4 linked regions of the Macaca mulatta genome follow. The main gene of each other region encodes a partner of the protein of the gene in region 4 in a complex. Links are inferred from orthologs where the notes say so. Each region holds a gene or a part of one and is shown on either strand. Other genes may lie near its edges. The genes, in order: CLXN, ODAD3, ODAD4 and ODAD1.

Evidence for each region.
Region 1: ODAD1 (region 4) and CLXN share a complex: the UniProt entries of both Homo sapiens proteins name them as parts of the outer dynein arm-docking complex. The link is inferred for Macaca mulatta from reciprocal best matches to the Homo sapiens genes ODAD1 and CLXN.
Region 2: the proteins of ODAD1 (region 4) and ODAD3 are in contact, whole or in part, in a cryo-EM structure (PDB 9CPB), measured with the Bos taurus proteins. The link is inferred for Macaca mulatta from reciprocal best matches to the Homo sapiens genes ODAD1 and ODAD3. Residues at the interface, in XP_024834988.1 of Bos taurus: Leu31, Gln32, Gln34, Cys35, Met38, Glu41, Arg42, Tyr45, Val49, Arg52, Ile53, Gln56, Leu57, Glu59, Ile60, Leu63, Glu64, Val66, Arg67, Leu70, Arg71, Gln73, Ile74, Ala77, Gln78, Asp86, Arg89, Leu90, Ser92, Met93; in NP_001095517.1 of Bos taurus: Gln69, Leu73, Lys76, Ile77, Leu79, Leu80, Asp83, Arg84, Phe87, Tyr88, Thr91, Asn94, Ile95, Asn98, Gln99, Thr101, Ile102, Leu105, Arg106, Glu108, Thr109, Leu112, Gln113, Gln115, Leu116, Leu119, Gly122, Asp123, Val126, Ala129.
Region 3: ODAD1 (region 4) and ODAD4 share a complex: the UniProt entries of both Homo sapiens proteins name them as parts of the outer dynein arm-docking complex. The link is inferred for Macaca mulatta from reciprocal best matches to the Homo sapiens genes ODAD1 and ODAD4.

The regions. Positions count from the first base shown.
Region 1 is NC_133413.1:59,291,708-59,299,855, forward strand, and holds the start of CLXN (calaxin), read right to left. Parts: upstream 5,638-8,148; 5' UTR 5,478-5,637; coding exon 5,420-5,477; intron 1,891-5,419; coding exon 1,735-1,890; intron 1,019-1,734; coding exon 914-1,018; intron 244-913; coding exon 92-243; intron 1-91. UniProt on the Homo sapiens protein: Component of the outer dynein arm-docking complex (ODA-DC) that mediates outer dynein arms (ODA) binding onto the doublet microtubule. Seems to regulate the assembly of both ODAs and their axonemal docking complex onto ciliary microtubules.
Region 2 is NC_133424.1:12,160,947-12,168,593, reverse strand, and holds part of ODAD3 (outer dynein arm-docking complex subunit 3), read left to right. Parts: intron 1-3,994; coding exon 3,995-4,116; intron 4,117-4,236; coding exon 4,237-4,314; intron 4,315-7,647. UniProt on the Homo sapiens protein: Component of the outer dynein arm-docking complex (ODA-DC) that mediates outer dynein arms (ODA) binding onto the doublet microtubule. Involved in mediating assembly of both ODAs and their axonemal docking complex onto ciliary microtubules.
Region 3 is NC_133421.1:66,284,457-66,292,103, forward strand, and holds part of ODAD4 (outer dynein arm-docking complex subunit 4), read left to right. Parts: intron 1-1,785; coding exon 1,786-1,872; intron 1,873-3,664; coding exon 3,665-3,861; intron 3,862-6,336; exon of another isoform or gene 6,337-6,369; intron 6,370-6,540; exon of another isoform or gene 6,541-6,823; intron 6,824-7,647. UniProt on the Homo sapiens protein: Component of the outer dynein arm-docking complex (ODA-DC) that mediates outer dynein arms (ODA) binding onto the doublet microtubule. Plays an essential role for the assembly of ODA-DC and for the docking of ODA in ciliary axoneme.
Region 4 is NC_133424.1:60,755,733-60,763,379, forward strand, and holds part of ODAD1 (outer dynein arm-docking complex subunit 1), read right to left. Parts: intron 5,840-7,647; coding exon 5,652-5,839; intron 5,484-5,651; coding exon 5,349-5,483; intron 4,795-5,348; coding exon 4,712-4,794; intron 4,558-4,711; coding exon 4,389-4,557; intron 1-4,388. UniProt on the Homo sapiens protein: Component of the outer dynein arm-docking complex (ODA-DC) that mediates outer dynein arms (ODA) binding onto the doublet microtubule. Involved in mediating assembly of both ODAs and their axonemal docking complex onto ciliary microtubules.

The sequences.
Region 1 (8,148 bases), on a different chromosome or scaffold from region 4:
GAACTGAAAATTATTATAATTTAAATTCTTATTTCTAGCCCATATCTGGCCCACAAATTTTAATGAAAAACTTGACATTATACATATTTACCATTTTCTTAAGTGTAATTTCAACCAAATCTTTAATTCCTTCATCAGGGTCTTCCTCAGATGGCTGTTTGAGAAGGCTGTTCTTCAACATGTGAAACATTTCCTCCTTTGAAATGAATCCATCACCATTCAAATCAAATACTTCAAAACAATCTTTTAAAAAAAATAACAAATTATGAATTTGATGCTATCAGTAAGGTAATATTTTCTCTGATAAAGTTTTCAGGGTCAAGTTCTATCTTCATGCTGTACCAACCCCACAGGTCTTCGTGCAGCCTGATTCCATTGTAAGTGTCAATGTATACTAGGATATATACAATAATCTTTAGAAAATATTTCCTGACTCTCAATTATGAAAAAGCATACCAAGGAACAGTAACTTGAATATCTTCACCTTGAAAATCTTGGAAAACTGATTGAAATATGGCTCATAAGCAGAGTTCATCAGAATCAACTGAGAGTTAATTAAGAATAAGAACACTGGAATCAATATTCTCTAGTTTTATGGTTACAATTCAAGTAAAATCTGTCAAATGCTTAATACATAAATGTATATGTACATAATTAGCATGTGTAGTAATGCCTATGGAGTCTTCATTGGCATAAATTACTCCTTGGAATCACTTGAATTTTTTTTTTTATTAACTTTCTTTCATATTTTATTGACTTGAATTCATTCCATAAAATAGGCCGGTGGGATTCAAACCAACTAGCCAGCCAACCAACAAACTCACTTTACTGTCTGGGTTGAAGGACACTGATTTAAGTGCTTTAGATATGTTATTCATAAAGTACAAACCAATAGGATAATCTGCAATCTTACATTTCATTTTTTCTTCCAAAGATCCTCGAAGAAACAGTGATAATCCATGAATCCACTCCAATACATTTACACAGCCATCATTATCTTTATCAAAACCTCGGAATACTAAAGGGAAAGAGGTTAAATGGAACACCTGTCCTGCATGATAATTCTCAGTAAAGAATCTACATTGGCATCACTCACTTTTAAAATTAAGAGAACACTTCAGTTTGTACAGTCCAATATTCTCTTCTCATTTGATGAAAGAGGAAACTAAGACATCATAATATCATGAAACTGTTTTATTAAACATTCAATTTTTAAAATGTTTTTGTGGGAACAAATACAATTCTCAATGTCTAAGTATATTGATCATTAATTAATAATAAGTATGTTGCTATAAAATAAGTTGATCATATTAATTAGATATGTTAAATATACTAATATAAATAAAATACTTTATATTTTTGTTACTCAAGTCATTACTTGATGCATAGAATTATATCTTGTCACGGAAATATTTTCTGTGATGGAAAGAATTTAAATGTCCTTTTAAAACTACTCTATTACGTTTATTAAGTAGAAATCGAAATGTTTTAGGTTTTCTGATATAAGGTAAGAGAAAGGTAGTTAGTCAACATGACTTTGTCTTCTTAAATACACAAAATAAAGCTGATATTACCTCCTTTTCTGTGATCTTTTCAAAATTAAATTTGTATATTCCAATGACACTGGGAATGCAAAACACTAAGCTTCCTACCAAGAGGATATCCAAGCACCAAACCTTTTTTTTTCCCAGTTATGGCTGGATTTGGCTAATTTGAATCTTGCGTGTCTCTTACCTCTGTCCATAATCATGTCATCTGTCATTCCAAATGTCACATGCAGGATGTTTCGAAATGCATTACGATCCAGTCCAATAACCAGACCTTGCCTCTCTACTGCTCCCACCAAGCTATAAAAAAGCTTTATAAGACAGTTCACTTCAAATTTATTAACTGAAAGAATAAAATAGATATAACAAAAGTGAATCTTTAATCTTTAAGTTCTAACTTAAATTTTGCAATAAGTTTACTGACAAACAACATCAAAGACATCAAATAGGTAATTGTCAATAGAAGACTCTCCTGTTTTGAGATTAATGACCCTTAACTTAATAGAAATTAAAGAAGTAGCATACCCTCCAAACAGGAATTCTCATGTTTAGGGAAAAAATATGAAAATGTTAGCCAAGTTACTGGAATAATGATAGTGGTGTCAGATTCTAAACTCTACAAGGCTGGTAGATATATGACTCAAAATAAGAATGGTAAGATTAAAAAATGGTAACTTTTTCTCAATATTTTTACTATGGCATTCATGAGATTTACAACTTCTTTTCCCTGGAAATAGATGTCAGGTTCATGAGAACTAGGTAACGATTTTCATTTCACTTTAGGCTTCATGAATTCATAAGCCAGATTTTGGAAACTAGAGTCACCAGTTTTCCAATAAAAAGCTTTAAAGCATATTTTAGCACCCAATATGGCTCTTCTTGAGGATTATGTAAAAATTGACATGCAAGTATTCAGTAATAGTTTGGAGGAAGGACATTTTTATTTAAAGGATATATACACACACTGATACTTGCTCATACACATTATTGTATAAAGGACCATGGTTATAAATACCGAGTTAATTATTTGTGTTCCAATCCCCATTTGAGAATGTAGGTGGAAGGGTTATTGCCTGGTCTTGATAATATAAAAGCCCAAATACCAAGTATGGGAGGAAGTTGGGGAAAATTTATTTAGAAACCAGACAAAACTATGATTGAGCATTTTAACAAACAAGGACAAAACCTGCATGTGTATAACAGAAGACAGCATCTAGGAATGGAAAAATCACACCTCATCCTAGAGGTCAGTACAGGCTTTTGTGAGATATCTGGTTTGGAGAACCACATTTAAAGAGAAACACTAAAAACTTTGGGAAAAAAGATTCAGCAAATAAACAGTAGGAAACAATATAATGGTTATGATTTTAAAAACAGCTGTTAGTCACTGGAAAGCAGTATGATGGCGCTTCATAAAAATTAAACACAATTATCGTATGATCCAGGAACTCTACTTCTAAATACATACTCAGAAGAACTGAAAGCAGGAACCTGCACAACAATGTTCATAGTGTCATTATTCACAACAGTCAAAAGACAGATGCAAGAGTCCATCAATGGAGGAATGGATAGACAAAATGTGGCGTATTCATACAACGAAGTATTATTCAGCCTTAAAAAGGAAGAAAATTCTGACACATAGATGAACATTTATGGACATTGCACTAAGTCAAATAAGCCAGGCACGAAAGGACACATATTGTATGATTCCTCATATATGAGGTACTTAGTCAGATTTATAGAGACAAAGTAAAATGGTAGTTGCCAGGGGCTAGGATGAGGAGGGAATGGTGAGTTAATATTTAATGGGTAGAGTTTCCACTGGGGACGATGAAAAAGTTCTGGAGGAGGATGTAAGCACTTAAAATGGTTAAAATAGTAAATTTCATGTTACATGTAACCGCATATACACACACACAAACCTCTTAAAAAGCAAGAGCTATTAGTGGTTGGGGAAGAAAAACCTGCATGAAGAATGATGTACTCTGTTCATGTATATAAAATGGTAGTAGAGGGGATGTTGGTTAGCCATTTTTCCATCTCAGCTGAAATAAAAATTTTAAAAAGTTAGTTTAATTTATTACCCAAAGGATCAAAGGTTAGCCATAAGAAAACTTTTATTGCTAAACATTTCTTAAATTCTAGAATACAATATTAAATGAAACTGAAGAAAATTCAAGAACAGATTTTCATCTTCTTGGAATGCTCTAAATGTGTCCTGCAGAACATATCTGTAGAATGGTGCATGAACTAGATGCTCTCTTAAGATCTTTCACTCTTCTTTGATTCTACAAAATTTATCCATTGACTCTTGATAGTTTTATTGTCTTGCAACTAAAACAAAATTTAACTTTAGGGGAAAGTTCCTTCTGTTAAAGAAAATTTAAAATTATTATAATACCCATGACTTATAACTATTTCTATAGACTGTAATAATCATCTAAGTTTGTAAGACTCATTAAAATTTTTTTAGTAAATAAAAAAATCAAGAGTAGACTTTTTCCTGCCATATTTTTAATTATCTTTAAAAATATACACTCACCTTTTGATTGTTTACAGAATGATTGTTTGCAATGCATTCAAACTTACTGAACAGAGACTAACTCAAATTCAAACTTATGGAAAGGGACAAAATCAGTATTGTGTATAGCAGCTATTGCATTGTTTTTGAATATTTATCAAAAATGTTTACTAGATGTTTACTAGAAGAATACCTATTCTTCTCCCAGAAATGAAAGTGTTTTAAGAAAAACAATAACAGAACAAAACTCTCATCAGAGTATAGTAGTCATAATAATACCTTAAATTACAGGATTTTTTTTCCTAGACATTTTAAGATGCTTACACATACCATAACATTCATTTACGTCACCATCCCACTAAGAGAGCATTTCTTACCAGGTATTAAATCAGACACTAATGATAATTAGAATGCACTAGATCTTATGATCTCTAAAACTACATCAACATGTTTATTCCTTCTTCTTTGAGCAATGCAGATATTTGGGGAATTGTTGCTTCTGTTTCTTCAAGTGACCAGTAGATTTGCAATGAACATACAACTTCTAAGTTTGCTCGACAGGCAATATCTTCCTCATCTAAACCATACCCACGGTTTCCTTGCTCAAGTGCAATTATGTTTTTCAGTCTGAATATAAACTCAAAGTTTCCTATGAAATTCCAGTACCACCCTTTCAAATGCGAGATTAGAGCAGGTGCCTTCAAATAGGGCTCATCTTGTCACCTGCAAAGTCTCCTTTATCTTTCAACACTAGGGGCCACAGGAAAGTGGGAGTCTAAAGTTGGGAATCCATTCTTTTCCGCGTGTTTAGTTGTGCTGAACTCTGTTTTCCAAACAAATCTTGTTCTGAGGCACAGATGAGATGACACAACTAACATCTCCTAAAGATGTTGAGAAGTTGAGCACCGTTTTCTCCTATGGGTCTCTTGGTAAGCTTCCAGAACTTGTACCTGCGAGTGTATATGCGAGCTAGAAAGCAGGGTGAGTGCACGTTGGTGGTGGTACTTTTCTTGAGACCAGTGGGTTTTAGCATTTATTTTACACCTCACTGAGGCTAACATCACGTTTCTATCAGGTAAAATAAGAGGCTTGGAGAAGCAAGTAAATGCATGTGTGGGAGTGTAGGTAGCACTAGAGGTGGAGGCCTGGGTTCCTAAGATCAAACCCAAGGAGCTAGCACCCCGGGGATTCACCCACTGACTTACGCCTAAGGGGCCGGAGTGGAGGGGCGGTAGGTAGCCCACACAAGCCCAGGAGGCCGGAAGCAGGCAGAACAGCGGACCCTGGCACCGGGTGGGACCCAGGTTCGGTCCAGGAGCCTCGACTTGTCCAGCACTAGATTCTTACTTACAATGCTTGCAATTTTTAGCTAAGGTGTCTGTCAGCTTCTGCAGCTTCTTGCGGTTCATGCCTGGCCCTCAGAGAATCGGGCCGCGGCGGGGGTCTCGGGGCGCACGGCTGCCGAGACTCTCCCGGGACCCCCGCGAGCCCTGGTGCTGGGGCAACGCGGTGAGGTCTCAGTCACTGATAGCGTGCGCTGCCCTAACAGACGGTGTAGCCAAGGCAACGGCTCGATCCGCCGCGGATTGGCTCCCAGGCTGCCCGCGACGTGGCCATGGCAACAACTGAGCTCCGCCCATCGGCTCAACGGCGGCGTGCTCTAGGTCCTGCGTGCGCGGTGCTGCCTGCAGGGTCCCAGCTGGCCGCCTTGAGGGCTGTATTCTGATTGTGGACGTTGGAGTTTAAATGTTCAGTTGTTGCTGGCTTTTGAGTTCGCAACCTTTTTGCTTGATTGCAGTGTAAATCATTAAAATCTGAAATGTGGTGTGCACGCTGTATGAGAGATGTTTCGGGTGGTGAGCGTCACGCGTCAAAGGGAAGCCTAAGATCTTGGACATCCTGGGGGCTGGAGCAGCGTCACAAAACAGCAAGGGTGCTGTCCAGAGGACTGTCTCGCCGGGCCTCCTGTCGTAGGGCGAGGAGCTTGCTCTTTGGGCGGAGCCACGCTTAGGCTGTCAGTCTTGGTGCGGTAACAGGAGGCAGTTTGTCACCTGAGGTCTTCAAGCTTTTAGTTGTGTTTCTGAGAGCAAAGGGAAATTGGAATACAGCCACGGGTTGTCTAAGGATGGAGATGCGTTCTGAGGTCACGAGGAGATTTCATCAGTGTGTGCACATCACGGTGCACCGACACAAACCTAGATGGCCTCGCCTACTGCACGCCGGGCTGTATGGTACAGCCCATTGCTTCTGGGCTGCACACCTGCACAGCAGGTCACTGCGCGGAATGCTGCAGGCAGCTAGGACAGAGTGCTAAGCACTCTGGGGAAGGAGCAGTGTTCCAGTACAGTGTTATATCTTATGGGACCACTGTCCTAATGTTGTCTGACATTGACTTAAATGGCGCTATGTGGCTTGTGACTGTAGTTTTTTTTTCTTTTCCCACTGCCCTCATCTCACTCTCAAAAGGTGGAAGTTGTCTGTGGAATCTGAATAAAGTCACTAGGAATTTTTATACTGCTTAAATAGGCATTCCCCCCAATGAAAACAGGGGCTGACAACTACCACTTGGGTGTGGGATACAGCCCAATCTTGCTTTTCTGGAAAATATCTCAGTAACCTTGGTCCTTGACTTATTTGAAAGACAGGTTCTGTGTCTGCAGACAAAGGATAGTCCTTACATCTTCAGTGTGGGAGGACTTTCTGCTTTTCCTGACCACAGAGGGGATACCTCCCTTTCAGCTAAGGCAGCAACAAAAAGGGGTGGCTCAGCCAGGAGCACCAAATCTACAGTATTCTCCAGAGTGCCTGCTTGTTTAACTTCAGAGGGGAAAATGACAAACTATGTTATTGTACACATACTGGCATTTTTAGACTGAAGCAGAAAAATTCTACTAACCATGAATAATAATCCCAAATGAAATAATTCCAATGTCAGGGTCTCTGGTTTCTCTTTACTGTTTCATTTGTTTTTGGAATGAAGGATTGGGATGCTGTTTGAAACTAGAGCAAAGGGTGCTTGGTAAAGGCATGGACTGTATTTTATCCTAAAGCAAATGACCTAACAACAGCTACCTGATATGAATTGATGGTGATTATGAGTTTGTAACAGTAGCCTTTTTAAATAGTGTTTCTACATATCCCCTTGTCTAGAAGAGTGAAATTCCTGAAACCATAGAGAACAAAAGGGAAAGACTGGACATATTTGAATTATACTTACCTGTGACACCTTATTGATTTCTGTTAGATCACAGAGCTGTAGCAAATACTTAATTCCTAGAGATTGCTGCACTGCTCACTTCAAGAGACAAGGTACTGAAAGAGTGGTTGTCAGTAATTACTAAGAGGCACTGTGGGCTCCCTGTCTGATGTACTAGGCCTGTGTTGGGGAGCAGGCCTGCGCTGCTGGTGAGCACATTGGTGGTTATTTCTGGGGGCCTGGGGAGATCGCACACACTGGGTGCTTGCTACAGCTGAGCGAATTAGTTATTCCTTCACGAGTTTCAGGCCCAGAGCCCATCAACCATATTCTCTTAAAGTTAAAACAATAATAAAAAGATGTAGGGGTAATATCACAGATTGTTGAAATTAAAATGCGCCAGGTCAAAACTTCTTAACCTGTTGAGCAAACTTTTTAAGCCACCTCCTCCTTTTCCACTTCTTTCCTCCTCCAGTTCTTTCTTCCATGCTGTTCTTTTAGCCAAAAACATCTCTGTATCTCTATGTCTATCTATCTATCCATACAAATGCATTGTTTTGTGAATCTCACTTATCTAAGAGAGTGGTTTGCAGAGTTGACCTTATAATAAGGTCTTACCATCTTTTTCAGGGAAAGTACAGTGTTTATTTGGGGTATGTTTTGTCAACATATGGGTAAACTTCAGAGCTTTCATTACATTCTTGTGAAGTTTTGGAACTTAATATTTTTAGACTTTAAAAAAAGTTGCAGGCCTGATTGAGTCAGTGAATAACATTTCAAAGCAAGTTGAAGTTTCTATTTGTAGTTTTAGTTGCTTATGCTGAGTAGACACAGGACTGCTTTCCACTAAGGGCTTTCTCAGAGTAAGGCAATTAAGCCTAAGA
Region 2 (7,647 bases), about 49 Mb from region 4:
TCCAATCTTCTGACCAGGCATGGTGTGACAAAGGTATTTCTCCAGCATGAGTCTAGGTGAACAGTTTCTGGGCAAAAACTCATACTTGATTCATGTTTTTCATCCTCTCTCTCTCAAAACTTCTCATGAGTTCAGAACCGAATGAACTGTACTTCATACTTTCCTGTAATTTATTTTCTCTCTCTCTCTCTTTTTTTTTTGGCAGAAATCTCACTCTGTTGCCAGGCAGGAGTGCAGTGGAACGATCTGGTCTCACTGCAACCTCCACCTCCCAGGTTCAAGCAATTCTCCTGCCTCAGCCTCCAGAGTAACTGGGACTACAGGCACGCGCCACCATGCCCAGCTAATTTTTGTGTTTTTAGTACAAAGGGGTTTCACCATATTGGCCAGGGTGGTCTCAATCTCTTGACTTCGTGATCCGCCCACCTCAGCTTCCCAAAGTGCTGGCTAGGATTACAGGTGTGAGCCACTGCACCCGGCCTTTTTTTTTTTTTTCTTTTTTTTTAGACAGGGTCTTGCTTTGTTGCCTAGGCTGGAGAGCAGTGGCGTGATCTCGGCTCACTGCAATCTCTGCCTCCCAGGTTCAAGTAATTCTCCTGCCTCAGCCTCCTGACTAGCTGGGACTACAGGTGCATGCCACCACACCTAATTTTTATATTTTTAGTGGAGACAGGATTTCACTATGTTGGCCAGGCTGGTCTCGAACTCCTGATCTCAAGTGATCCACCGGCCTTGGCCTCCCAAAGTGCTGGGATTACATGTGTGAGCCACTACCCCCAGCCTTCTTTCTTTCTGACAGGTTCTTGCTATGCTGTTCAGGCTGGAGTGCGGTGGTTCGATAATAGCTGGGCTCAAGCGAGCCTTCCACCTCAGCCTCCTGAGTAGCTGGGACTACAGGCATATGTCACTGTGCTTGGCTAATTTTCTTACTTTTTGTAGAGATGGGGTCTCACTATGCTGCCCAGGCTGGTCTCGAACTCCTGGGTTTGAGCAATCCTTCCTCCTCAGCTTCCCAAAGTGCTGGGATTATAGGCATGGGCCACCGCACCTGGCCTGAGCATAGATTTTAGAGCCAGATTTTCTGGGTTGGAATCCTGACTCTGCATAATAGTTGTCAGCCTTGGGGGACTAAGAGTAACCTAATTGTTCTCAGTTTCTCCATGTGTGAAATGGGGATAGTAACGGTACAACATAGGTACCTCAATTGTGTTAAGTACTTAGAACAGTGCCTGGCACATAGCAAAGTACCATAAGGTGTAAACCAATGGTTCTTGTTAGAAAAGGGTTAGTTTGCCCCACAGTGGCCATTTGGCAATGTCCTAAGACATTGAGACCAGCATGGCCAACACGGTGAAACTCCGTCTCTACTAAAAATACGAAAAATTAGCCAGGCGTGGTGGCAGGCATGTCTGTTGTGGGTGTGTGTCTTCCACTGGCATCTAGCGGGCAGAGGTGAAGGTGCTGCCCAACATGCTACAAAACACAGGAGAGCTCCCCACAGCAAATAATTATTCGGCCCAGTTGGTCATCCTGAGGTTGCAGAATCCTTGTGTATAAGCCATTATTATTGTTTTTGTTGATATTATTAAGAGGTAATCATGGCTGGGCGAGGTGGTTCACGCCTGTAATCCCAGCACTTTGGGAGGCCGAGGCGGGCGGATCACGAGGTCAGGAGATCGAGACCATCCTGGCTAACACAGTGAAACCCCATCTCTACTAAAAATACAAAAATTAGTGGGGCGTGGCGGCGTGCGCCTGTAGTCCCAGCTGCTGAGGAGGCTGAGGCAGGAGAATGGTGTGAACCCGGGAGGCGGAGCCTGCAGTGAGCCGAGATCGCACCACTGCACTACAGCCTGGGCGACAGAGCGAGACTCCATCTCAAAAAAAAAAAAAAAGGCTGGGTGCGGTGGCTCAAGCCTGTAATCCCAGCACTTTGGGAGGCCGAGACGGGCGGATCACGAGGTCAGGAGATCGAGACCATCCTGGCTAACACGGTGAAACCCCGCCTCTACTAAAAAATACAAAAAACTAGCCGGGCAAGGTGGCGGGCGCCTGTAGTCCCAGCTACTCAGGAGGCTGAGAAAGGAGAATGGCATAAACCCGGGAGGCGGAGCTTGCAGTGAGCTGAGATCCGGCCACTGCACTCCAGCCTGGGCGACAGAGCGAGACTCCGTCTCAAAAAAAAAAAAAAAAAAAGACCGGGCGCGGTGGCTCAAGCCTGTAATCCCAGCACTTTGGGAGGCCGAGGCGGGCGGATCACAAGGTCAGGAGATCGAGACCACAGTGAAACCCCGTCTCTACTAAAAATACAAAAAATTAGCCGGGCACGGTGGCGGGCGCCTGTAGTCCCAGCTACTCAGGAGGCTGAGGCAGGAGAATGGCGGGAACCCGGGAGGCGGAGCTTGCAGTGAGCCGAGATCGCGCCACTGCACTCCAGCCTGGGCAACAGCGTGAGACTCCATCTCAAAAAAAAAAAAAAAAAAAAAAAAGGGTAATCTTGCATGATTGCTTGTGACCTTAAGCAATTTAATCAGCCCAAGCCTCTGTCTTCTCATCTGTGCAAGGCGTATGATATGCCTATGCATATGGATACCTATTGGCACATGATATATGGCATTTGGAAACCTCTTAGTCCAACATCCAAAACATAATAAATGCTCAAAGTGAAGTACAGTTGATCCTTGAACACCATGTGTTCATGTATATCATTCATCCTTTCAAGTTTAAAAAAATTGAGATGGGCAGGCCGGGTGTGGTGGTTCATGCCTGTAATCCTAGCACTTTGGGAGGCTGAGGCAGAAGGATTGCTAGAGGCCAGGAGTTCGAGACCAGCCTGGGCAACATAGACCCTTGACTCTACAAAAAATAAAGTAGCTGGATGTGGTAGCACATGCCTCTAGTCCTAGCTACTTGGGAGGCTGAGGCAGGAGGACTGCTTGAGCCCAGGAGGTTGAGGCTTCAGTGAGCAATGATAGCACCACTGCACTTCAGCCTGGGTGACAGAGCAAGACCCAGTCCCAAAAAAGAAAAGAAAAGAAAATACAACAGTCATGGGATGCAAAACTTGAGTATACAGAGGGACAACCGTTTGTATCTGCAGTTTCCACAGGGCTGACTGTAGGACTTGAGTATGGAAGGATTTTGGTATACTCGGATCCTGGAACCAATTATCTGAGTATACCCAGGGACAGGGGTTTTTTTTGTTTGTTTGTTTGTTTGTTTTGAGATGGAGTCTTGCTCTGTTGCCCAGGCTGGAGTGCAGTGGCAGGATCTCGGCTCACTGCAGCCTCCACCTCCGGAGGTCAAGTGATTCTCGTGCCTCAGCCTCCCGTAGCTGGGATTACAGTCACCTGCCATCATGCCCAGCTAATTTTTGTAGACGCGGGGTTTCACCATGTTGGCCAGGCTGGTCTTGAACTCAGGCGGATGACCTCAGGTGATCCGCCCACCTCTACCTCCCAAAGTGCTGGGATTACAGGAAAGAGCCATTGTGCCCAGCCTCACACCTGGCTAATTTTTGTATTTCTAGTAGAGACGGGGTTTTACCACGTTGGCCAGGCTCAGGCTGATCGACGATTGCATTCTTACAATATTAAGTTGATGAGGCCAGGCGCGGTGGCTCACGCCTGTGATCGCAGCACTTTGGGAGCCCGAGGCGGGCAGATCACCTGAGGTCGGGAGTTCGAGACCAGCCTGACCAACATGGTGAAACCCCGTCTCTACTAAAAATACAAAATTAGCCAGGTGTGGTGGCACATGCCTGTAATCCCAGCTACTTGGGAGGCTGAGGCAGGAGAATCTCTTGAACCCGGGAGGCAGAGGCTGTGATGAGCCGAGATTGCACCATTGCACTCCAGCCTGGGCAACAAGAGCGAAACTCTGTTTCAAAGAAAAAAAGTTGATGATTGCAAAAAAGGTCTTCCCTCTGGGATATTGCACCCACCCAGCCACCCTCCCAGTAACTGTGTGTCTGTCCACTTCCCCTGCCTGCCAGAGGGTGACCGGAAGGCTTTTTTTGAGAGCTCTCAGTGGAACATTAAGAAGAACCAGGAGACCATCAGTCAGCTCCGCGAGGAGACTAAGGCACTGGAACTAAAGCTGCTGGACCTGCTCAAGGTAAGGGGCGCAGGGGTGGGTGGAGGGTTCCTGTGGCAGGGATGGGGGGAGCAAGGAGGTAGCACCTGGCCTCAGGGGGAAGAGGCATGCTGAAAGGTGACTGGACTTCCCTCCTTGCAGGGAGATGAGAAAGTTGTCCAGGCAGTGATTCACGAATGGAAGTGGGAGAAGCCATACCTGAAGAACAGGACAGGCCAGGTTTGCCCACCCTCACTCCACCTCCTCCTTCATTTCCAGCCTGGGTCCCCTCACCTATGAACTCCAGGCTCACCTCTCCAATCCTTCCTGCACAGTAGCTGCCATTCGTATGCTCATTCAATTAAATCTTTATTACTAACTGTCCTTGTATCTGGCATCCTGGCATGGTAGTAAATGCAGTGAAAAAGCAGACCAAGTCTCCACTTCTAAAAGCAGCTCGTATCCTAATAGGGAAAACAGGTTTAAAAAAAAAAAATCACAGCCGGGTGCAGTGGCTCACGTCTGTAATCACAGCACTTTGGGAGGCCGAGGCAGGCAGATCACCTGAAGTCGGGAGTTCGAGACCAACATGGAGAAACCCCCGTCTCTACTGAAAATACAAAACTTAGCTGGGTGCGGTGGCGCGCATTTGTAATCCCAGCTACTCAGGAGGCTGAGGCAGGAGAATCGCTTCAACCTGGGAGGTGGAGGTTGCAGTGAGCTGAGATCACGCCATTACACTCCAGTCTGGGCAACAAGAGCGAAATTCCATCTCAAAAAATAAATAAATAAATAAAATTAAAAAAAAATTTTTTTTAAGTCACTTGAACCCCGGGGGCAGAGGCTGCAGTGAGCTGAGGTTGTGCCACTGTGCTCCAGCCTGGGCGACAGACGTGAGACTCCGTCTCAAAAAAAAAAAAACAAAACAATGACCGACCAGTGGCACATGTGTGTAATCCCAGCTACTCGGGAGGCTGAGGCCGAAGGATTGCATGAGCCTAAAAGTCTGAGACTGTAACGAGCCACGATTACACCACTGCACTCTAGCCTGAGTGACAGTACAACCTGTTTCTTTAAAAAAAAAAAAAGAAGAAGAAAAAAAAGGCCGGGTGCAGCGGCTCACGCCTGTAATCCCAGCACTTTGGGAAGCTGAGGCGGGCAGATCACGAGGTCAGGAGATCGAGACCATCCTGGCTAAACCCTGTCTGTACTAAAAATACAAAAAATTAGCAGGACGTGGTGGCGGGTGCCTGTAGTCCCAGCTACGCAGGAGGCTGAGGCAGGAGAATGGCTTGAACCCAGGAGGCGGAGCTTGCGGTGAGCTGAGATTGGTGCCACTGCAGTCTAGCCTGGAAACAGCATGAGACTCCGTCTCAAAAAAACAAAAACAAACAAAAAAACAGAAACAAAAGATAAAAAATCAAAATAAAGGCCAGGCGTGGTGGCTCGTGCCTGTAATCCCAGAACTTTGGGAGGCCGAGGTGGGCGGATCACCTGAGGTTGGGTGTTCGAGACCAGCCTGGTCAACATAGCAAAACCCCGTCTCTATTAAAAATACAAAAAATTAGCTGGGCATGGTGGTGCATGCCTGTAATCCCAGCTACTCGGGAGGCTGAGGCAGGAGAATCACTTGAACCCAGGAGGTGGAGGTTGTGGTGAGCTGAGATCATCCACTGCACTCCAGCCTGGGCAACAGGACCAAAACTCTGTCTCAAAATAAATAAATAAATAAATAATAAAAAATAAAACACAGTCTAGGCATGGTGGCTCATGCTTGTAATGCCAGTGCTTTGGGAGGCCAAGGCTGGAGGATTGCTTGAGCCCAAGAGTTCGAGACCAGCCTGGCAACATAGTGAAACTTTGACTCTACAACAAATACAAAAGATTAGCCAAATGTGGTGGCGCAGGACTCTAGTCCCAGCTACTTGCCAGGCTGAGGTGGGAGGATCACTTGAACTGGGGAGGTCGAGGCTGTAGTGAGCCATGTTCATGCCACTGCACTCCAGTCTGGGTGACAAAGCAAGGCCTTGTCTCAAAAAATAATTTTTTTTTTTTATTTTTAATTTGAGACGGAGTCTCGCTCTGTCGCCCAGGCTGGAGTGCAGTGGCCGGATCTCAGCTCACTGCAAGCTCCGCCTCCTGGGTTTATGCCATTCTCCTGCCTCAGCCTCCGGAGTAACTGTGACTACAGGTGCCCGCCACCTCGCCTGGCTAGTTTTTTGTATTTTTAGTAGAGACGGGGTTTCACCGTGTTAGCCAGGATGGTCTCGATCTCCTGACCTCGTGATCCGCCCGTCTCGGCCTCCCAAAGTACTGGGATTACAGGCTTGAGCCACCGCGCCTGGCCTCAAAAAATAATTTTTAAAATTAAAAGGCTGGGCATGGTGGCTCACGCCTGTAATCCCAGCACTTTGGGAGGCCTAAGTGGGTGGACCACTTGAGCTCAGAATTTCATGACCAGTCTGGGCAACATGATGAAACCCTGTCTCTACCAAAACTACAAAAACGTAGCCAGGCGTTGTGGCATGTGTCTGTGGTCCCAGCTACTGAGGATGCTGAGGAAGAAGGATCACTTTAGCTCAAGGGGCAGAGGTTGCAGTGAGCCAAGATCGAGTCACTGCACTCCAGCCTGAGTGACAGGGTAAGACCCCATCTCAAAAAACAAAACAAAATAAAACTGGGCTGGGTACAGTGGCTCATGCGTGTAGTCTCAGCACTTTGGGAGGCCCAGGAAGGAGGATGGTTTGGGCCCAGGAATTCGATACCAGCCTGGGCAACATAGCGAGACCCTGCCTGTATAAATTTTTTTGTTTGTTTTTTGGTTTTTTTTGAGACGGAGTCTCACTCTGTCGCCCAGGCTGGAGTGCAGGGGCATGATCTCGGCTCACTGCAAGCTCCCCCGCCAGGTTCACACCATTCTCCTGCCTCAGCCTCCCAAGTAGCTGGGACTACAGGTGCCTGCCACCACGCCCGGCTAATTTTTTGTATTTTTAGTAGAGATCGGGTTTCACCATGTTAGCCAGGATGTTCTCGATCTCCTGACCTCATGATCTGCCTGCCTTGACCTCCCAAGGTCCTGGGATTACAGGTGTTAGCCACCGCGCCTAGCCTAAACAATTTTTTTAAAAGAAAAAAATGGCCAGAAGTCAGCCGGGTGAGGTGGCTCACGTCTGTAATCCCAGCACTTTGGGAGGCCGAGGCAGGTGGATCACCTGAAGTCAGGCATTCGAGACCAGCCTGGCCAACATGGTGAAACCCTGTCTCTACCCAAAATACAAAAATTAGCCGGGTGTGGTGGCACATGCCTGTAATCCCAGCTACTTGGGAGGCTGAGACAGGAGAATTGCTTCAACCTGGGAGACGGAGGTTGCAGTGAGCCAAGATCGTGCCAGTACACTTCAGCCTGGGCAACAGAGCGAAACTTCTTTTCAAAACAAAACAAAAATTAGCCAGGTGTGCTGGTGGGAGCCTGTAATCTCAGCTACTTGGGAGGCTGAGGAGGAGAATGGCGTGAACCCAGGAGGAGGAGGTTGCAGTGTGCCGAGATTGCCCCACAGTACTCCAGCCTGGGCG
Region 3 (7,647 bases), on a different chromosome or scaffold from region 4:
AGCTGTGGCTTGTATGTTCTGAAGTTCTTGTACGCTGGAGACGTGGTTGTGGGTTGTCTTACGGTGGAGGCAAGTAGCTGTAGCTCAGAAATGTGTTGTTGTCTGGCTTCCTCCTCTCTATTATTGTACACCTTGAAGGCGAGGTTGATTAATTCCTGTTGCAGGGTTTGAGGGCCGGATTTCAATTTTTGAAGCTTTTTTCTAATGTCAGGAGCTGACTGGGTGATAAAATGGATATTAAGAATAAGGTGTAGGCTGGGCACGGTGGCTCATGCCTGTAATCCCAGCACTTTGGGAGGCTGAGGCAGGTGGATCACGAGGTCAGGAGATCGAGACCATCCTGGCTAACACGGTGAAACGCTGTCTCTACTAAAAATACAAAAAATTAGCCGGGCGTGGTGGCGGGCGCCTGTAGTCCCAGCTACTCGGGAGGCTGAGGCAGGAGAATGGCGTGAACCTGGGAGGTGGAGCTTGCAGTGAGCCAAGATCGTGCCACTGCACTCCAGCCTGGGCAACAGAGCAGGACTCTGTCTCAAAATAATAATAATAATAATAATAATAAGGTGGCCTTCTGGCCCCTCTGGGTCTAGGGCAGTAAAGGGTCTAAGAGTTACTGCTAAGCAGGCCATGAACTGGGCTAGGTTTTTATATTTGATGAAAAAGAGCCTAAACGCTAACTGATTTGGGAGAGGTGGGAAAAAGAAAAAGGAACATTAACCTTGACTGTGCCTGTAGCTCTAGCCACCTTTTTAAGAGGAAATTGTTGGGCAGGTGGGGGAGGGCTAGTAGTGGAACGAAACTGTAAGGGGGACCAGGTGTGAGGAGGGGAGGTGATAAAAGGATTATAGGGTGGGGGAGCGGAGGCTGAGGAAAAATTGGGACCTGGAGAGGAGCAGCCTGGGGAGGAGAGGTCAGATGGGTCTGTAGAAAAGAAAGATTCAAAAGACTCAGTGACGCTTGGGGTTGGGACTGAAGGGACAGGCGGGAGGCAAAGGAGGAGGATGTGGGACAAGTCGCATTGGGAACAGGGACTAGGGAGGGACCGATGTGTAAAAGAATGCCTGGACGTCAGGCACCTCAGATCGTTTGTCCATTTTTCGACAAAAATCATCCAGGTCTTGCAAAATGGAGAAATCAAAAGTGCCATTTTCTGGCTATTTAGAACCACTATGGGCAACTTTCCGCCCTCCATTCCCCCATTACAGAGTTTGTATTGGGGCCAAGCGGTGTTGCAGAAGAAAATAAGATGCTTAGGTTTTAGGTCAGGCGAGAGTTGAAGAGGTTTTAAGTTTTTAAGAACACAGGCTAAGGGAGATGGGGGAATGGAGGGCGGAAAGTTGCCCATAGTGAAGGAGGTAAGTTTAAAGAGAAAGGTAGAGACACAGAGAAGGGGTGTAGGGAGCAGCCCTGGGCTGCAATGTGGGTGAGCAGCCAAAGCAAGCATCCCCGCAATTGACTTGTCACCAAGGGAATGTGGGTGAATGACCAAGGCAGGCGTCCCTGCGGTGATCAGACACCAATGGAATGTGGGTGAATAATCAATCAGGCATCCCCGCAGTGATTAAAAACCAAGGGAAGACTGTCTTCCCAAGTCCGTGCTCAGCGCCGGAGTTTTGGGTCCACGGATGAAATGTGTCTCATCCTTGCCAGGCTGGACATTGTCCCTCCAACTGAAACCCTGAGTTTCTGAGGCCAGGGATCCTGTCTTTGCCTTCGTTCCTATTTCCACAGTGCCTAGAACAGCTGATTTTCTAGTGAATGGCTTATTTTGCTTCTTCCCTACAGTGACCTTCCTGATGCAAAATCCAGAGCCCTTGACAACATTGGCAGAGTTTTTGCCAGAGTTGGGAAATTCCAGCAAGCCATTGACACGTGAGTGACCAAGAATTGCCTCTCCCCCACCTCCATGGTTAGAACTTCTCATCCTAACATGAAAATTTGTTTCCAGTGATAAGAATCCAGCCTGGGCGGCCGGGCGTGGTGGCTCAAGCCTGTAATCCCAGCACTTTGGGAGGCCGAGATGGGCGGATCACGAGGTCAGGAGATCGAGACCATCCTGGCTAACACGGTGAAACCCCGTCTCTACTAAAAAATACAAAAAACTAGCCGGGCGAGGTGGTGGGCACCTGTAGTCCCAGCTACTCGGGAGGCTGAGGCAGGAGAATGGCGTAAACCTGGGAGGCGGAGCTTGCAGTGAGCTGAGATCCGGCCACTGCACTCCAGCCTGGGCGACAGAGCGAGACTCCGTCTCAAAAATAAAAAAAGAATCCAGCCTGGGCAACATAGGAAGACTCCCTCTCTACAAAAAAAAAAAAAAAAAAAAAAATTAGCCGGGCATACTGTCCTGTGCCTGTGGTCCCAGCTACTTGGGAGGCTGAGGTGGGAGGATTACATGAGCCTGGGAGGTTGAGGCTGCAGTGAGACATGATCACACTACTGCACTCCAGCCTAGACCACATGTTACCAGTGGAAGATATCCCAAGTTATTGGCAGTGAATCTGTACAGGTCTACAACAACCTCAATTCTTGCCTCCTCAGAAGAAAGACTTTGAATGAGGAGTGGAAGTTTATTAAAAAGCTAGGCCGGGGCCGGGCCCTGTGGCTCACGCCTGTAATCCCAGCACTTTGGGAGGCTGAGGTGGGCAGACCATGAGGTCAACAGATCGAGACCATCCTAGTCAATATGGTGAAACCCCGTCTCTACTAAAAATACAAAATTTAGCTGGGCGTGGTGGTACGTGCCTGTAATCCCAGCTGCTCAGGAGGCTGAGGCAGGAGAATCACTTAAACCTGGGGAGGCAGAGGTTGCAGGGAGCCGAGATTGCACCATTGCACTCCAGCCTGGGTGACAGAGTGAGACTCCATCAAAAAAAAAAAAAAGGCTGGGCACGGTGGCTCACGCCTATAATCCCAGCACTTTGGGAGGCAGAGATGGGCAGATCACGAGGTCAGGAGATCGAGACTATCCTGGCTAACACATCACCGTGCCTGGCTAATTTTTGTAATTTTTTGTAGAGATGAGGTTTTGCCATGTTGCCCAGGCTCGAACTCCTTGGCTTAAGCAGTCCACCCGCCTTGGCTTCCCAAAGTGCTGGGGTTACAGGAATGAGCCACCATACTTGATAATATTCTTAAACATTATTTGTGTTGTGTGTATGTGTGTGTGTGTTGAGATGGGGTCTTGCTCTGTCACCCAGTCTTGGAGTGAAGTGGCATAGTCTTGGCTTACTGCAACCTCCACCTCCCAGGTTCAAGTTATTCTTCTGCCTCAGCCTCCTGAGTAGTTGGGGCTACAGGCGCCTGCCACTATGCCTGGCTAATTTTTGTATTTTTAGTAGAGAGATGGTTTTTCCATGTTGGCTAGGCTGGTTTCGATCTCCTGACCTCAGATGATCTGCCCACTTCAGCATCACAAAGTGCTAGAGACATGAGCCACCACGCCAGCCTCAACTGTTGTATTAAATTCCACGTTCCATAGATGTTACCAAAATAGTCTCAGTAGTCTTAAAATATTGTTATGCTTATGAACTCCACCCTTGTATCTAAAAGAACTGGTAGTTGGAGAACAAGTTTTATTCCGTCACCCAGCAGGAAGCCTTGGCATCCTGTGGCCTAGTGCATGGTTTTGGGGGATGAAGCTGGCCCTTGTTCTTCATGTCCCCAGGTGGGAAGAAAAGATCCCTCTGGCAAAAACCACCCTGGAGAAGACCTGGCTGTTCCATGAGATTGGCCGCTGCTACTTGGAGCTGGACCAGGCCTGGCAGGCCCAGAATTATGGCGAGAAGTCCCAGCAGTGTGCCGAGGAGGAAGGGGACATTGAGTGGCAACTGAATGCCAGTGTTCTGGTGGCCCAGGCACAAGGTATGGGCTCAGAGATGACCACCCTACCTTTCCCAGCCTTCAGGCCCAGCTCACACCAGGGCTAGGAGTCCTGTGGACTGAGTTTACCATCCCAGTGTTTTTCCTTCCCAGATTGTTCTGAGAGTGGGGATAAGCCACCCCATTTTGACCAGCACGTGGTGAGTGCCTACATTAAGCAAAGCTTGGTTAGAGCTTGGGGCACCTTGAGCCTACCTCTGCCCTTGAGGAGCTCAGCTGCACACCCACACAGCATGTCGTCCTCACAACAGAGCCCATGTATTGAGCCACTTTCCTTCTGCCTTGGTACTTTTTTTTTGTTTTGTTTTGTTTTGTTTTCGAGATGGAGTTTCGCTGCTGTTGCCCAGGATGGAGTGCAGTGGTGTGATCTCGGCTCACTGCAACCTCCGCCACCCAGGTTCAAGTGATTCTCCGGCCTCAGGCTCCCGAGTAGCTGGGATTACAGGCGTCTGCCACCACGCCTGGCTAATATTTTGTGTTTTTAGTAGAGACAGGGTTTCACCATGTTGGCTAGGCTGGTCTCAAACTCTTGACCTCAGGTGATCCAACTGCCTCGGCCTCCCAAAGTGCTAGGATTACAGGCATGAGCCACCGTGCCTGGCCCTGTTTTGTTTTTTGAGACGAAGTCTCGCTATGTCACCCAGGCTAGAGTGCAGTGGCTTGATCTTGGCTCACTGCAACCTCGGCCTCCTGGGTTCAAGTAATTCTCCTGCTTCAGCCTCCAGAGTAGCTGGGATTACAGGCACACACCACCATGACTGGCTAATTTTTGTATTTTTAATAGAGATGGGGTTTCACCACGTTGGTCAGGCTGTTCTCGAACTCCTGATATCAGGTGATCCATCCGCCTCAGCTTTCCAAAGTGCTGGGATTATAGGCATGAGCCATCACACCCAGCCAGCATTCTTGTATTGAATCATTATGATGTAGGCATTATAATCATCTTCATTTTAGAGATAGGGAAACTGAGGCACAGAGAGGTTCAGTAGACTCTCCAAGCCCCATGAGGGAACCTTTTTTTTTTTTTGTCACCCAGGCTGGAGTGCAGTGGCGTGATCTTAGCTCACTGCAACCTCTGCATCCTGGTGTCAAGTGATTGTCCTGTCACATTGAGATAACTTTAAATTACATATTCAGTTAAAAATCAGGCTGGGGCCAGGCGCGGTGGCTCACGCATGTAATCCCAGCACTTTGGGAGGCCCGGCCTCAACTCTGTAAATTTTCTTTTTTTTTTTTTTTAATTTTTTTTTTTTTAGACGGAGTCTCGCTCTGTCGCCCAGGCTGGAGTGCAGTGGCCAGATCTCAGCTCACTGCAAGCTCCACCTCCCGGGTTCCCGCCATTCTCCTGCCTCAGCCTCCCGAGTAGCTGGGACCACAGGCGCCGCCACCTCGCCCGGCTAATTTTTTGTGTTTTTAGTAGAGATGGGGTTTCGCCGTGTTAGCCAGGATGGTCTCGATCTCCTGACCTTGTGATCCGCCCGTCTCGGCCTCCCAAAGTGCTGGGATTACAGGCTTGAGCCACCGCGCCCGGCCAACTCTGTAAATTTTCTAAAAATCATTGAACTTTATCCTTACTAGCTGCTGAACTTTATTTATTTATTTTTTTGAGAAGGAGTCTCACTCTGTCGCCCAGACTGCAGTGCAGTGTCACGATCTTGGCTCATTGCAACCTCCGCCTCCCAGGGTCAAGTGATTTTCCTGTCACATTGAGATAACTTTAAATTACATATTCAGTTAAAAATTAGACTGGGGCCCTGTGCGGTGGCTCACACATGTAATCCCAGCACTTTGGGAGGCCAAGGCAGGTAGATCACCTGAGGTCAGGGGTTTGGTACCAGTCTGACCAACAAGATGAAACCTCATCTCTACTAAAAATACAAAAATTAGCTGGGTGTGGTGGCACACACCTGTGGTCCAAGCTACTCAGGAGGCTGAGGCAGGAGAACTGCTTGAACCTGGGAGGCAGAGGTTGCAGTGAGCCCAGATTGTGCCACTGCACTCCAGTCTGGGTGAAAGAACGAGATTCTGTCTCAAAAAAAAAAAAAAAAAAAAATTATCCTGGCCACAGTGACTCACACTTGTAATCCTGGCACTTTGGGAGGCCAAGGTGGGAGGATCGGTTGAGCCCAGGAGTTTGATACCAGCCTGGGCAACATAGGGAGATCTCATCTTTATAAAAAATAAAGCAACATAAAGAGACTGCATCTCTACAAAAAATAAAAAATTAGGGCCAGGCACGGTGGCCCATGCCTGTAATCCCAGCACTTTGGGAGGCCGAGGTGGGCAGATCACAAGGTCAGGAGTTCAAGACCAGCCTGGCCAACATAGTGAAACCCCATCTCTACTAAAAATCCAAAAAAATAGCTGGGCGTGGTGGTGCACGCCTGTAATCCCAGCTACTCGGGAGGCTGAGGCAGGAGAGTTGCTTGAACCTGGGAGGTGGAGGTTGCAGTGAGCTGAGATCACGCCACTATACTCCAGTCCAGGCGACTGTGAAAAAAAAAAAAAAAATTAGCTGAGTGTGGTGGCAGGCACCTGTGATCCCAAATATTTGGGAGGCTGAGGTGGAAGGATCGCCTGAGCCCAGGTTGAGACTGCAGTGAGCTATGATCATACCACTGCATTCCAGCCTGGGATACAGAGCGAGACCCTGACCCTCACTCAAAAAAAAAAAAAAAAAAAAAAAAAAGAGAGAAAGAATGAAAGAATAGTCCTGAATGAGTTACGCTCTTGAATAAGCATGTGACTCCTCTGCAGACCTTTAATGTCAGAGTCCCACTGGTCTTGGAAGGAATACTGTGACTCCATATATTTTCAGAATTACATTTAAATTTTCTTTCAAGTGTAATAGCCTTCTTTTTTTTTTCTTTTTTGAGATAGAGTCTTGCTTTGTCAGATAGAGTCAGATTTTAGTGCAGTGTCACATCCCTGCATTCATGGCTCACTGCAGCCTCAACCTCCCAGGCTCCAGTGATTCTCTCTCCTCAGTGTCCCAAGTCGCTGGGACCACAGGTGCATGTCACCATGCCTGGCAAATTTTTTTTTTTTTTGGTAGAAACAGGGTCTCCCTATGTTGCCCAGGCTGTTCTGGAACTCCTGAGCTCAAGCAGTGCTCCCACCTTGGCCTCCCAAAGTGCTGGGATTACAGGTATGAGCCACTGTGTCTGGCCAAGTGTAATAGCCTTTTATTTAATTTTATTTATTTATTTTTGAGACAGAGTTTCACTCTTTCACCCAGGCTGGAGTGCAGTGGTATAATCTCAGCTCAATGCAACCTCCGCCTTCCAATTTCAAGTGATTCTTCTGCCTCAGCCTCCCAAATAGCTGGGATTCCGTTCGTCCACCACCATGCCTGGCTAATTTTTGTATTTTTAGTAGAGATGGGCTTTCACCGTGTTGGCCAGGCTGATCTCGATCTCCTGACCTTGTGATCTGCCTGTCTCAGCCTCCCAAATTGTTGGGATTACAGGCGTGAGACACCGTAACTGGCTGTAATGGCCTTTTAAAGTCTGACTTATGAGCACAAGGGCTTATTTTCCCCATGGGTCTCAAAGCAGTGCTTAGGAGGAGGATAGATCTTGGATATACTCAATTGTAAAAGAAAGCAGTGGTCTGTGAAGACCTTGGCTGGTAAGCACTTTCTCCTTTATGAAGCTCTTGGCCAGGCAGAAAGGTTCACGCCTGTAATCCCAGCACTTTGGGAGGCCAAGGTAGAGGATTGCTTGAGGCCAGGAGTTCGAGACCAGGCTGGGCAACATGGTGAGACCC
Region 4 (7,647 bases):
CCCAGCAGAGCTGGCTTGGTGAGTGTGAGACCCAGACGGTGGTGAGGGGCCTGCACTTGGCTTGACACGCTGCTGCTCTTCCTATCTTGAAAATCTTGGCAATTTTTTAATAAGGGGCCCCTCATTCTGCACTGGGCCCCACAAATTATGGTCTTGCACTGCAGACTGAGTTACGGCCTCCTCTCGCCCCCAGAGCCTGGGTGTCCTCCATCCTAGCCCCTGAGTGATGAGTGCCCAGTGCTCAGGTCAGTCCCCTCCAGGGCCTCTCCCCACTGTGCCCACATCACCTAGCACAGGGCTCGGCTCAGCCGTCACGACAGCGGGAAGGAGGACCTGCCCATATTTGAGCTCCTACGGTGTGCCCCAAGGGGGCTCCCCAGATCGCTCCCCACCACCCCCCACCTTTCTCTCCATCTGTCATCCCTTCTAATTCTCATGACAACCCTGCAAAGAAGGCACTGCCATCCCCATTCCCAGAGGGGCTCACAAGGAGGAAGCCACACACCAAGGTTCATAATTGGTGGAGCTGAGATTCAAACCCAGGACAGGCTGGGTGCAGTGGCTCACGCCTGTAATCCCAGCATTTTGGGAAGCCAAGGCAGGCAGATCATTTGAGATCAGGAGTTTGAGACCAGCCTGGCCACCATGGTGAAACCCTGTTTCTACTAAAAATACGAAAAAACTAGCCGGGCATGGTAGTGCGTGCCTGTAATCCCAGTCACTCGAGAGGCAGGAGAATCGCTTGCACCCAGGAGACGGACATTGCAGTGAGCCGAGATCACACCACTGCACTCCAGCCTGGCTGACAGAGTGAGATTCCATCTCAAATAAATAAATAAATAAATAAATAAATAAATAAATAAATAAAAAAAGCTAACAATAAATGTAAAAAAAAAAACCAAAAAAACAAAAAACAAAAAACAGGACAGCCTGACTCCTGAGTGCTCTGCATGGCTACTTCCTGAAAAATAAGAAAGATGAGGCCAGGTGTGGTGGCTCACGCCTGTAATCCCAGCACTTTGGGAGACCGAGGTGGGTGGATCACCTAAAGTCAGGAGTTTGAGACCAGCCTGGCCAACATGGCAAAATCCACTCTCCACTAAAAATACAAAAATTAGCTGGGCGTGGTGGTGTGCTCCTGTAATCCCAGCTACTAGGAGGCTAAGGCAGGAGAATCACTTAAACCCAGCAGGGGGAGGTTGCAGTGAATGGAGATGGTGCCACTGCACTCCAACCTGGGGGACAGAGCGAGACTCTCTCTCAAATTAAAAAATAATAATAATAATAATAATAGAAATAAAAGAGAACGATGGGAGGATGCACAGGTGGATGCAACTGATACCCACGGAAAGGATAAAAAAAAAAAAAAAAAGAGGCCAGGCGCGGTGGCTCAAGCCTGTAATCCCAGCACTTTGGGAGGCCGAGACGGGCAGATCACGAGGTCAGGAGATCAAGACCATCCTGGCTAACACAGTGAAACCCCGTCTCTACTAAAAAAAAATACAAAAAACTAGCCGGGCGAGGTGGCGGGCACCTGTAGTCCCAGCTACTTGGGAGGCTGAGGCAGGAGAATGGCGTGAACCCGGGAGGCGGAGCTTGCAGTGAGCCGAGATCCGGCCACTGCACTCCAGCCTGGGCGACAGAGCAAGACTCTGTCTAAAAAAAAAAAAAAGAAACTCGGCCAGGTGTGGTGGCTCATGCCTGTAATCCCAGCACTTTGGGAGTCCAAGACAGGAGGAGCACTTGAATCCAGGAGTTCAAGACTAGCCTGGACAACATAGTAAGATCCCATCTCTAAAAAAAAAAAGGGAAGGGCCAGGTGCAGTGGCTCATACATGTAATCCCAGCACTTTGGAAGGCCGAGGCGGGTGGATCACCTGAGGTCAGGAGTTTGAGACCAGCCTGGCCAACATGGCGAAACCTCATCTCTACTAAAAATACCAAAATTAGCTGGATGTGGTGGTGTGCACCTATAATCCCAGCTACTCGGGAGGCTGAGGCAGAATTGCTTGAACCTGGGTGGCAGAGGTTGCAGTGAGCCAAGATTGCGCCACTGCACTCCAGCCTGGGCAAAAGAGCAAAATTCCTCTCAAAAAAATAAATAAATGAAAAAAATCTAAAAATTTTTTTAAAAAGGAAACTCTAGACCCCTACCTCATACCATACATGCAAATCAATTTGGCATAAGTCACAGACTTCAATGTGGGAGCTCAAACAATGAAACTTCTAGGAGAAAACACAGCACAATGCCTTTGTAAACTCAGGACAGGCAAAAATTTCTCAGGCAGGCCACAAAGTCACTAACTACAAAAAGAAAATTTCATAAATTAGATCTCAAAACTAAGAAACTTCAGTTCATCACCAAAAAAAGTGAAAAGGCAAGCTACAGTATAGGAGAAAATATTTACCAAAAGTCTAGTGTCTAGAATATACAAAGAACTCCTACAACTCAGTTATAGCAAGAAAACCCAACTTTTAAAAAAACGAGTGCACAAGATTGAACAGGAACTTCACAAAGATATCCGAATGGCCAATATGATACTCAATATTATTAGTCACTAGGGAAATGCCAATTAAATTAATAGAGATAGTACTGCACAAACGTTAGATGGCTAATATTAAAATGGCCGATGGCCGGGCGCGGTGGCTCACGCTTGTAATCCCAGCACTTTGGGAGGCTGAGGCGGGCAGATCACAAGGTCAAGAGATCGAGACCATCCTAGCCAACATGGTGAAACCCTGACTCTACTAAAAATACAAAAATTAGCTGGGCGTGGTGGCACACACCTGTAGTCCCAGCTACTCGAGAGGCTGAGGCAGGAGAATCGCTTGAACCCAGGAGGTGAAAGTTGCAGTGAGCCGAGATCACACCATTGCACTCCAGCCTGGTGACAGAGCAAGACTCCATCTCAAAAATAAAATAAAATAAAAAATGGCTGCCACTAGGAAGCGGTGGAGAAGGTGTGGAACATCTGGGACCCCCATATGCTCACATAGGTGAGGGCATAAAATCTTGCGACCAGTTTGGAAAACTGTTTGGCATTTTCCAATAAATATCAACATATACCTACCCTAAGACCCGTCAGTCCCATTGCTAGGCATTTATAGACAGACAGATGTACACGGATGATCCATAGATGAATACTGGATAGATGAATGGATGGGTGGATGACGGATATGGGACAGTGGGAGGGACAGCATCTGTTTTTCAGTGTTTTGTGAAACAAGTGGAATAATGCCTAAGTGCCTAGCAGAGTGAATGACACATAATAAACATTGCTATTATATTTTATCATCATTTTCTTTACAAATAATAACATTTTTGGTAACTAAGACTAAGAAGAAATTTGGTAACTAAGACTAAGACTAGGAAGACAAAAGTCAAATGTCATTGCAGACAAATGGATGAACAGATGGATGTGGGGCTGTTGGAGGCAGACAGATGGATAGACAATGGATGGAGGGATGGATGGATGGATGGATGGACGGACATGGGACAGTTGGAGGGACAGACCCTGCATGGATGGACGGACATGGGACAGTTGGAGGAACAGATCCTGGATGGATGGATGGATGGATGGATGGATGGATGGATGGATGGATAGATGGATGGATGGATGGATGGATGGATGGATGGATGGACGGACAGATGGATATAGGACAGATGGAGGGGTAGACCCTGGATGGATAGATAGATATGGAACAGATGAAGGAATAGACCCTCGATAGATAGATGGATATGGGACAGATGGAGGGATAGACCCTGGATGGATAGATAGATATGGGACAGATGAAGGAATAGATCCTGGATGAATGATGGATAAGGACAGTTGGAGGCATAGACCCTGGGTGGATGGATGGATGGATGGATATAGGACAGATGGAGGGGTAGATCCTGGATGGATAGATAGATATAGAACAGATGAAGGCACAGACCCTGGATAGATAGATGGATATGGGACAGATGGAGGGATAGACCCTGGATGGAGAGATAGATATAGGACAGATGAGGGAATAAATCCCGGATGGATGATGGATATAGGACAGTTGGAGGGACAGTCTCTGGATGGATGGATGGATGGATGGATGGATATGGGACAGTTGGAGAGATCAACCCTAGATGGATGGATGGATGCACTGATGGATGGGTGGATGGATGGATGGATGGATGGATGGGTGTAGGACAGCTGGAGGGACAGATGCTGGATGGATAGATGGACATGAGACAGTTGGAGGGATAGACCCTGGTTGGAAAGATGGACAGATATGGAGCAACCAATAAGCAAGTGAACCAGGTTGTCCATGCAATGCCTCCAAGCCCCACAGGCTAATGGTGTCCTTCCAAGTGGAGAAGCCAGGCTTGGGAGGGGGCGCCCGTGGGTGCTCACCAGCCTTGAGCTTCTCCAGCTGTCCCCGCACATCCTGGAAGCGGGCCTCAAGGCGCTCAGCCTCCAAGCGCACCTTGTCCATGCGCTGCTGCAACGCATTCAGCTGCTGCTCCTGCAGCAAATGCCGGTCATCCTTGCTGGTACGTGCACTCACCAATGCCTCCTGCATCTGTGGGGACAGGGCTGAATGTTGGGCCAGATGGCAGCCTCGGGAGCTGGGGGGTGTGGAGCTGGGAAGAAGAGGCAGGAGGGGGGCTGAGGGAGGGGAGGGGGCAGGGAGGCAGGGAGAAGAGGAGGAGATGGAGAGGGCAGGCCTCACTCACCTCCTTGATCTCTTCCTGCACATGCTCCAGCTCCAAGTTCTGCTCATTGATGAAGTTGAACTCAGCAAAGTTGCGCTCCTCGACTGGGAAAGTTGGGCAAGGCGGGGCCCAGAGAGAGGAAGACAGAGATACAGATACAGAGAGAAGAGAGACAGAGAGGCACACAGAAGGCCAGAGAAAGTGAGGATGAGGAAGGCCACACAGAGACCAAGGCAGAGAGATGAACAGAGAGGAATCACAGAGACCAAGAGGCGTGGGAAGACACGGCAGGGGCGACACAGAAACACATAGCAAGGCAGAGGGAAAGCCGGAGAGACTCGGTAACAGCAAGGGAGACGGGGAGATGCAGGCAGGGAGAACGGTAGATATGGGTAAGGAGAGAAACAGAGAGGGACGGGGTTGAGGGAAGGATGTGGAGAGTGACCCCAGGCCCAGGAGAGAGGAGGGGATGGGGAGAGGCAGAGACAGGGCCACAGTAAGATGCCAGTGGACATGGGTGGCGGGTCCCAGGCCTGACACCTTGCTCCTCCAGTGCAGGTGGAGGAGTCCCCAGAGCCAGAGCTGAAGCCAGCCTGCACTGGACTCAGGGGGTGCCGGGGCCCCTGGGCCTCCTCCCCCCACCCAGGGCCCCACTCACTCTCCAGATACTTCTGCACCAACAAGTCGGGGTCGCTCTCCCCCATCAGCTGGGACAGTTTATTCAGGGCGTCCTCGTAGCGAAGCACCAGCCTCTCCTGGGAGGTCTTCCGGACGCCCTCGGCCACCTCCCGGGCTGGGGGAAGAGAGAACAGCAGGTCGGCCTCCTGGGTGGCCTCCAGCACAGAGACCTCCTGGGCGAGGGTGAGCAAAGTGTGGTCCCGCCCGGGGCACCAAGGAGTGCTGCAGGTGCCCCAGGGGCGGCCAGGCCCTCGAGATGCAAAGGCGGTAGCCCCGGCCTCACCCTGCTTTTCACGCTTCTCCAGGACATCGGAATCTGGCTGCCTGTCGTTGTTTTTGAGCTTCAGGAAGCGGTGCAGCTGCTCCAGGTGTGAGATCTGCCGCTGCAGCACCTGCGCCTCCGTCTCACTCTGGGCCTCCTCCTTCTCCGCGCGCTCCCGCAGCAAGCCCATCTTGGCCTTCGCCTCCTCCCTGGGGGGGTCAGCCGGGGTCAGGATGACTGGAGGCTGGGCTGGGGTCGGCCTGGGATCCTGGGGATGGGCGGGGTCAGCCAGAGGTTGTGGGGGTGGGGTGGAGTCAGCTGGTGTCCCAGATGGGCAGGGCCAGCCTGGGGTCACAGGAATGGGGCTGAATCAGGTTGCAGTTATCCTGTGGTCACAAAAGCAGAGAACTGGCTGGGCACGGTGGCTCAGTCTGTAATCCCAGCAATCTGGGAGGCAGGAGGATCACCTGCGGTCAGGAGTTTGAGACCAGCCTGGCCAACATGGTGAAACCCCATCTCTACTAAAAATACAAAAATTAGCCAGACCTGGTGGTGCATGCCTGTAATCCCAATTACTCAGGAGGCTGAAGCGAGAGAATCGCTTGAACCTGGGAGGTGAAGATTGCAGTGAGCCGAGATCGCACCACTGCACTCTAGCTTGGGTGGCAAGAGCGAAACTCTGTCTCAAAAAAAAAAAAAAAAAAAAAAAAAAAGACGGAGGCAAGAACTTCAAAAGAGTCCGACATCATATTAAAAACCCAACACAAAACTCTCAGTGTGCTGCTGGCTCACGTTCTTTCAGCAGCCTGCTCTCCTCATCCTTCAGAGTGTACTGTCTCTCTGTGTAAACTCTCTGTTCTCTATTTGCCTTCAGTAAAGTCTCTTTGTTGATTAAATCAGTCTCTAGGCAGAATTTTTTCTCCCAAGTAAGACTAAGAAGCGAGGATTCCTGCACTTCCCGGTGGCAGGTGCAGTTTCCTTTTGGAGTGATGGAAATATTTCAGATCTAGACAGAAGTGGTGCGGTTGCACGACCCTGTGAATGGACTAAATGCTGCTAAATTCTGTACTTGAAAATGGTGAATTTTGCCATGTTTATTTTAACAGAGAGAGAGAAAGAGAGAAATCACAGAGACCCTAAGGCAGACCCAGGCCACAACTGATGTCGATCAGGGACCGTGAGAAAACAGAAGCCAGAGAAGAACTCAGTAGAAGGTAAGGAAGCGTTTGGAGCAAGAGGAGAAGAGGGCGAAGCTGAGAAAGAGGCAGGGATGGAGTGAGAGAGAGAGCCTGGAGCTCATGAGAGCCCCAGAGAAGGAGAGAGAAGCCAGCACCTAAAGCAGCTTCAGCTCTTCAACTCCTTACAGCGTGTCTCTATCTGAAGGTGGCCCGAGAGAATCTCTGTCCCTTGCAACCAATGCTGACAAATAACAAATTCGCCAGATGCTTCCAGGAACCCTGCTGCACTATATATGTGCTAGATGCACTTTTTTTTTTTTTTTTTTTTTCTTTCTGAGACAGAGTCTTACTCTGTTGCCCAGGCTGGAATGCAGTGGTGCAATCTCGGCTCACTGCAACCTCTGACCCCAGGCCTCAAGCAATCCTCCCACCTCAGCCTCCCAAGTAGCTGGGACCACAGACACTCGCCACCGCCACCATGCCCAGCTAAGTTTTTATATTTTTGGTAGAGATGGGATTTCACCATGTTGGCCAGGCTGGTCTTGAACTCCTGAGCTCAAGCAATCTGCCTGCCTTGGCCTCCCACAGTGTGGGGATTACAGGCGTGAGCCACCGCGTCTGGCCACTAGATGCATTCTTATGTGCTAGATGGGGTCAGTAGAGGTTAATTTACATGCCCAAGGAAGAGAACAGGACCAGTGGGGTGCAATGGCTCATGCCTGTAATCCCAGCACCTTGGGAGGCACAGCGGGTAGATCATGAGCTCAGGAGTTCAAGACCCGCCTGGCCAAGATGGTGAAACCCCGTCTCTACTAAAAATACAAAAATCAGCCAGGCGT